Linked DNA regions of Canis lupus familiaris. The protein of the gene in region 1 purifies or fractionates together with the protein of each later gene. This does not show direct contact. Links are inferred from orthologs where the notes say so. Each region holds a gene or a part of one and is shown in the gene's direction. Other genes may lie near its edges.

Region 1 (3,814 bases):
CACACCTGTTGTTCCCCAAGTGGTATTGGGGTCACCAGCTTCTCCCCCAAGGGTCAGTCCCCTCTGCACATCGAGCAGAAGAGCAAATTCAGGTCCCCTCCTTGCACCATCCCTCAAGTGAAAAATGAACACTCTATGCTCATTGTAACTCAAGTTTGTCAGGGCTTTATGGACACATTGTAAGATATTCTTGTATTAAACAGCTCAGGTGAAACCAGAGCCTGCCTTTTCTGGAACCTGCTCTAGGGAGGGAATGTTTTCAAAATGTCAGTGCCTGAACTCCTTAACTCTTGGCACGGTCCCACAGGTACATCACTCAGGAAGGCCACAAGCTGGAGACGGGGGCCCCGAGGCCCCCAGCCACTGTCACCAATGCAGTGTCCTGGCGGTCCGAGGGCATCAAGTACCGGAAGAATGAGGTGTTCTTGGATGTCATCGAGTCTGTCAACCTCTTGGTAGGCTTCCTTTCCTTCCTTTTCTTTCAGAAAAATTTTGTCTTTTCCATGGTTGAAATAAAAGCACTGGGACTTTTAAAACTAGCAAGGCGCTGAGAGACATTTACTTTCTTTATGACAGCAGATCAGCAGGGTTCAGCTTAGGCCACTCATGGCTGAGCCTCTTTTCTCTCCACTAGCTTGTGTTCCTGTTTAGAATCAATGCAGACACATCGTGGCTGTCACTCTTTAAAGCAGTGTGGAGAGTTAGCAGAGTGTTCCATTTTCAGAAAGACCACCTCATTTAAGATTTATTAGCATCCTTTTGGACCTCATTCTGTAAATTCACAAACATGCACTGTTCTTTCCATGAAGCCGAGAGCGTAGGATGTGGTTCTGCAACTTGTTTTATTATTGTTGTTTGACTGTGTATGTTTGCTTTTTCCTTTTATTTTTTAAATTTTCACTAATAAAATTGACCTTCTTTTCTGTTAATTTCTGCACATGTACAGATTTTTGTACCCCAGTGCCATAATCAGGAGCTACATCCCCTCTAAGCCCTCCCTACTGCCGCCCTCGGCAGTCTGACCCTTCCGCCTCTCCCCCCACTGCTGGCAGCCACCACTCCAGTCCCTGGCACTGCACAGTTTCTCTTCCCCAGTCAGCCATGGTCCTCAGTCAGAATGTCCTCCTCCTGACTATTGTCAGAGGGTCAGTGGCCACCTCACACTACATCACAAGGCTTATGTCATTCACCTCACTTTACGTTGTCATGTAGGCGCTTTGTCCTCTGACATCATCACAAGAACGGTGGGTAACAGTACAATCAGGTGTTTTGAGAGAGAAAGAAACTACATCCACTTACCTTTTATTATAGTATATTGTTCTAATTGTCCCATGTCACAATTAATTCATTGTGAATCTCTTACCGTGCCTGATTTATAAATTAAATTTTATAAATTAAAATTTATTAGAGATCTATATAGGAAAAAACATAGTATATATAGGATTTGGTACTGTCTGCAGTTTCAGGCATCCACTGGGGGTCTTGGAGCATATTTCCTGCAGATAAGGAGGACAACTCTAGAATGTTGTCTTTTTGAGATTGTCCTATGAATGGCATTGTACAGTATGTGGCCTATTGAGTCTGGCTTCTTCCTTTTTTTTTTTTTTTTTTTTTTTTTTAAGATTTTATTTATTTGTTCATGAGAGAGAGAGAGAGAGAGAGGCAGAGACACAGGCAAAGGGAGAAACAGGCTCCCTGCAAGGAGCCCAATGTGGGACTTGATCCCGGATCCCAGGATCACGCCCTGAGCCAAAGGCAGATGCTCAACCACTGAGCCACCCAGGCGTCCCTGGCTTCTTCCACTTAGCATAATGTCTTTGAGATAGATCCAAGTTACTACGTTTACCAGAAGTTTGTTTCTTCTTATATTTATTTTATATCCTGAAGCATACCTTGTTTACCCATTCAACCTATTGAAGGACTTTTGGGTTTTTTTCCAGTGTTGGGCAGTTGTGAATAGAGTTGCTATAAATGTTTCACATCCAGGTTTATGTGTAGACAGAAGTTTTCATTTCTCTAGGGAAAACACCCAGGAGTGGGATTGCTGGGTCATATGGTAAGTGTATGTTTAACTTTATAAGAAACTGCCAAATCGTTTTCCAGAGTGACTGCACCATCTTTGCCTTTTCATCAGCAGTGGATGAACATTCTGGTTGCTCCACATCCTTGATCGGTGTTTTAATTTTCGCCATCTTAATCAGTGTGTCGTGTTAGCTTATCATGGCTTTAATTTGTAATTTCCCTAATGGCTAATGATGTTAAACACCTCTTCATGTGCTTCCTTTGTCATCCACATATCATCTTCGGAGAAGTGTCTTTTCATGTCATTTGAGTATTTTTAAATTGGGTTGTTTGTTTTCTGATTGTTGCATTTTGAAAGTTCTTTATATATTCTGGATTATAAATCTCTCATCTGATATGTGATTTGCAGATGTCTTCTTCTAGTCTGTCACTTGTCTTTTCATTCTTTTGGTGCAGTATCTTTCACAGGACAAAAGTTTTTAACTTTGAGAAAGTCCAGTTACCGATTTTTTGATGTGTGCCTTTGGTGCCATGTCTGAGAACTCATCACCAAATCTAAGGTCATACAGGTTTTCTCCTGAATTTCTTCTAATAGTTTTGTAGTTTTACATTTAGATCCATGATCATTTTGAGTTAAGTTTTACATAAGGTACGAGGTTTATATGCATTTATTTTTGCATGTAGAACAGTGTTTTGCAGTTGTTCCAATATAATTTTTTGAAAAAACCATCCCATTCTCCATTAAATGCACTTGTATTTTTGTCAAAAAGCAATCGACCATATTCATGCAAGTCTATATCTGGCCTCAGATCTGTGTATCTGTTTATTTGCCAATACCACACTGTCTTGATAACTGTAACTTTATTACGTCTCCATCAGATTATGTGATTCTTCCAACATTCTTCTTTTTTGAAATTGTTGTAGCTATTTAGTCCCTTTGTATAAAATTGTAGAATCAACTTGTCTCTATCTACAAAAAGATCCTACTGGGATTTTAATTGTTATTTTATTAAATAACTGTATTAATCAGTATGGAAGAAAACTGTTATCTTTAGTATATTAAGCTTCACAATCCAAAAACGCTGTATGTGTCTTTTTCTCTCTAGGTAGGTCATCTTTGATTTCTGTCATCAACATTTGGTAGTTTTTACTACCTATACATTTTCTTTAGAGCTATACCTAAGTATTTCATTTTTTGAAGGTATCGTAAATTGTATATTTTTAATTTTATTTGGTAGAATTAATTTATTTGATAGTGAAACTATCTGAGTCTAGAAATTTCTTTTTCAGGTTTTTTTTTTTTAAGAGAGGGGAGGGGCAGAAGGAGAGGGAGAGAGAATCTTAAGTAGGCTCCACGCCCAGTGTGGGGCTCAATCTCACAACCTGAGATCATGACCTAGGCCAAAAGCAAGAGTCAGATGCTTAACCAACAGATACACCCAGGCATTCCTTTTTCAGCATATTTTTAACTACAAATTTCAATCCTCTTAACGGTTATACGATTCAGGTTTTTGGTTTCATCTTGGTTGAGTTTTGGTAGTTTATTTTTAAGAAGCTGGTCCGTTTTATCAAAGTCATTGAGTTTATGTGCATAGTGTTTTTTGTAGTATTCCCTTTAATGTCTGCAGAATCTTCTTGATGTCTGCAGGGTCTGTGCTTATGTCCTCTCTTTCATTCCTGATATTGGTCATTTATGTCATTTTTCTTTGTCAGTCTTGTGAGAGCCACCTATTTTATTGATCTTTACTAAAAATTGGTTTTTTATTTCATTGATTTATCTCTGTTGTCTTTC
Region 2 (3,687 bases), on another chromosome or scaffold:
CTCTTAGAAATGTTGACGGCTGCGGTCTGTCTGTGCTGGGAGGGACAGGGTGGATGCCAGGACAGCCAGCTCCGGGAGCAGCGTGTGGGAAGGACAGCTGCAGAGCCTGGTGCTGTCGGAGTACGCATCCACCGAGATGAGCCTGCACGCCCTCTATATGCACCAGGTGAGTGGGCAGCAAGGGGCAGAGCCACAGAGTCAAGCTGGCCACTGACAAATAGAATAGAGGGTTCTAGGCAAGGAAAAGCAAGACATGGGTCTGGAACCCTTGTCTGTTATTCACCTACTCTAAGCTCCATTCCTGCAGATACCCTTTTGCCATCCATTTTTAGGCAAGCTTATTGTCATCCGGGGCCTTGACACATTTGCTATTTCCCTTGCCAAGAATCCACTTCCCTAGATATGCTTATGGCTCCCTCCTTTAATCACCTGTCTGTTCTTAACTGTTCCATGAGACGTCTCTGGCCACCCTGACCAAAAGAGTCTCCCTTGGCCACCCCCGACTCTCCCTGCTTTTATTTTTCTCTGTAGCATTTATCTGATCTATTGCATTTTCCCTCTTTTATTTTATTGTCTCTGATCCCCCCGCACCACCTCTGCCTCCAGCATACAAGCCAAACAAGGGCTGAGATTTTTGTCTGTTGTTCAGTGCTATCTTCCTGGCACCTTGAAAGAGTGCCTGGCACTTAGATGTACCACCAACTTGTTCTTGACTCAAATGACTAGGCAAAACGAGTGCCATCACAACTTATGCAACAGGTTCGTTCCAGGGATCTGCTGAGAGTTTAACCTATAAGATGTCGTATGTGTCTTACACACTGTTAATAAGATAGTTACTCTGGGTCAGTGATTCTGGGCGCGGTGCCAGAAATGGGAACATTTGGAACAGTGTAGTGGGGGCAGCTGTTTCAGATATCCTAGCCTTAACTAATGAGTGTCACCCTCCACTCCCCACACTTCTCAGCTCCATAAACAGCAAGCCCAGGCCGAGCCTGAGCGGCATGTGTGGCATCGCCGGGAGAGCGATGAGAGTGGGGAGAGCGCCCCTGAAGAGGGGGGAGAGGGCTCCCGGGCCTCCCAACCTATCCCCCGCTCTGCCAGCTATCCCTGTGCTGCACCCCGGCCTGGAGCACCCGAGACCACCGCCCTGCAGGGGGGCTTCCAGAGGCGCTATGGGGGTATCACAGGTATCCAACGGGGGTACAGCAGGGTACAGTGGCTCTTTGGGGGGGCCTCTTGGGGAGGAAAGAAGTCAGAGGGATCAAGCCCAAAGAGACTAACCCTTACCCCCACCTTGAACAGCCCCAGAACCTTGCTCCACATTTGTGTTCGTTCTAAGACCATGTTTACTTGTGTCTCTAGATCCTGGCACGGTACCCCGGGCTCCCTCTCACTTCTCCCGGCTGCCCCTTGGAGGGTGGGCTGAAGATGGGCAGTCAGCATCAAGGCACCCAGAGCCGGTGCCCGAGGAGGGCTCGGAGGATGAGCTTCCCCCTCAGGTGCACAAGGTAAGGGCCCCAGGACTGGAGAACAGCTACCAGATGTAGTAACTTCCAGGCTGAGATCAAAGTCTCCTGTGAAAGAAGGCAGGCCTCTCGTATGGAGGTACTGTCCCTTCCCCTCCAAAATACACTCCCATTTTTTGCCTCCCCTACTCTGGAATCCAGGGCTTAATTTTCCCCTTCACTTTCCTCCCCTGGAATCAAGCTTTCCCCTTCATTTATCTCCAAGGTTTTGTGTGTGTGTGTGTGTGTGTGTGTGTGTGTGTGTTTTTGTTTTGCTTTTTTGCAGGAAGGTGGTAAGCAGATAGCTGAAGATGGTCTCCACTACTGACCCTTTTCTCTCTACAGGTATAGACAAGGCTGAGGAGGGTCCCTATGTCCCAGGATGGAGGCCACGGTTGCCCTGCCATCCCATCTGCCCGCCATGGAGGGCTCCTCTGACTGTTGCCTGGCTCCACGTGTGTGGTGTTTGTGTGTCTGTGCCTGGCCAAGGGAGGTGCCAACGCTGGGCTTGCCGCAGCCCCAGGAGAGAAATTGGGGGCCTAGGAACCAAGGCACACAGGACTCTAGCCTCATCCCCAGGACCCCCCTTGGCTCAGAGTGTGGTGCTAGAAACTGGTCCCCGGTCCAGCCCCAGTACTGCCACCTTTGCACCCACCCCTGCAAGTCTCCAGAGGACTGCCCACCACAGAAGCTGCCAAGCAGGGAGAACCTGTGCCAACTGTGGAGTGGGGAGGTTGGGCCCGGACCCTCAACCTCTGCAGCCTCCCTCCCCCACCCCGAACAGATGAGTAGCTCAGGCTGTGGCCCTTACCTCACCCCCAGTTCTCTCCCAGTGCTACAGCCTGCTCACCTCTCCTGCTTCCTGCACATGACAGGCATGTATGCCGCTTACTCTGTTCTGTTCGCTTGCTCCCGTTCTGTTCAGCTTTTGCTTCGCACTGGTGTGGAGACCCTAGCTCCCAGCTCCTCTCATGCTACCTTTTGACACTACGAAGGAAGGTTTCTAAAAGGCAGGAGCAGGATGGAAGTTCTTTGCTGCCCTCTCCAAGTTTGAAGCAGGGCCCCTGAGAGACTGAGGCCGTCCTGGCCTCCATTGCTGCTTATTGTACCCCTTAACCGCCTGCACAAAGGACGGACTGGGCTGGTTGTGCCCTCGGCTGTCTACCTCCCAGCAAGAGAGCTCTGGGCTGCCTCCCGCTGTTCCCCCCGGGGCTGGAGGGGCGACAGGAGGCCTGCGCCCGAGGCTGTGAGCTGCCGCATTGCATGCTGGGACCCAGCTCCTACTCTCCGCCCCACCCCTCGCCCGCCCGGGCCGCTGCGGGCGTGGAACGCGGCGCTGCCCGGGCTCACAGCGGAAGGCGTAGGAACTGTGTACAGCTTGATAACCCTTAATAAAAAAGGGACTTTGACCGGGCTTGTTGCGTCGCGCGGCTGGGATCCCGGGAAGGAGCGGAGTGGGGTGCGGGCGAGCCCCCTGCTGGTGGGGGCCCGGCCGGGCGGTGGGAAGGTGGGCCGACGCCGTCACTCGGATACACCGGGCGGGCCAGCGAGCAGGACCACCTCCCAGCGCCGCGCCGCGGAGGTCAAGGTCTCGGGTCGGACGTGCGGTCAGATTTCGCGCTCTGAGCACGTGACCGGGCCGGCCCCGCCCCTGTATTTTGCCTTTTCCGCGTGCACGCTCTCCCCGCGCCCCGCCCCCTCGGCGAGGCTGGCCAATGGGGGCCCCGGTAGGGGCTGGGGCCGCCCCGTGGGCGGGGCTGCCGCGCCGGCGCCGCGCCGGCCGCACGCTCCACATTCCTTGGGCCCGGACGCGGCCGGAGGGTCCCGGGCGGCGAGCGGGGGGCGGACGGACGCGCGAGGAGGGCGTGCGTGCCCTGCGTGAGTGCGCGGCGGCGGCGCGTGCGCGGGGCAGGGGAGCGGGGGGAGCGTGGGCGGGCCCACGTGTGCCCCTGCGCGAGGCCCCCGCGGCTCGGCGCCCCTCGGGTCCATGACCCGGGACCCCGCGGCCTCCGCGCCCCGCCCCGAGCCGCCGGTCCGGGTTTCCGCCCCCGCAGCCCCCGCAGCCCCCGCGGTGCCGGCAGCCCCGGCCGGCGGCCACGCATCGCCATGGTGACTGTGGGCAACTACTGCGAGGCCGAGGGGCCCGCGGGGCCGGCCTGGGTGAAGGGTGGCCTGAGCCCCT

What was found.
Region 2: the proteins of AP1M1 (region 1) and ATG9A purify together in Homo sapiens (affinity purification with western blotting, with the first as the bait; 3 studies listed by BioGRID). This does not show direct contact. The link is inferred for Canis lupus familiaris from reciprocal best matches to the Homo sapiens genes AP1M1 and ATG9A.

What each region holds. Positions count from the first base shown.
Region 1 is NC_049241.1:46,687,500-46,691,313, reverse strand, and holds part of AP1M1 (AP-1 complex subunit mu-1), read left to right. Parts: intron 1-307; coding exon 308-455; intron 456-2,020; coding exon 2,021-2,056; intron 2,057-3,814. UniProt on the Homo sapiens protein: Subunit of clathrin-associated adaptor protein complex 1 that plays a role in protein sorting in the trans-Golgi network (TGN) and endosomes.
Region 2 is NC_049258.1:25,643,124-25,646,810, reverse strand, and holds the end of ATG9A (autophagy-related protein 9A), read left to right. Parts: intron 1-48; coding exon 49-166; intron 167-606; coding exon of another isoform or gene 607-690; exon of another isoform or gene 691-867; intron 868-964; coding exon 965-1,187; intron 1,188-1,362; coding exon 1,363-1,508; intron 1,509-1,850; coding exon 1,851-1,856; 3' UTR 1,857-2,919; downstream 2,920-3,687. Other genes in the region: ABCB6 (ATP-binding cassette sub-family B member 6, mitochondrial), read left to right, coding at 3,612-3,687. UniProt on the Homo sapiens protein: Phospholipid scramblase involved in autophagy by mediating autophagosomal membrane expansion. Cycles between the preautophagosomal structure/phagophore assembly site (PAS) and the cytoplasmic vesicle pool and supplies membrane for the growing autophagosome.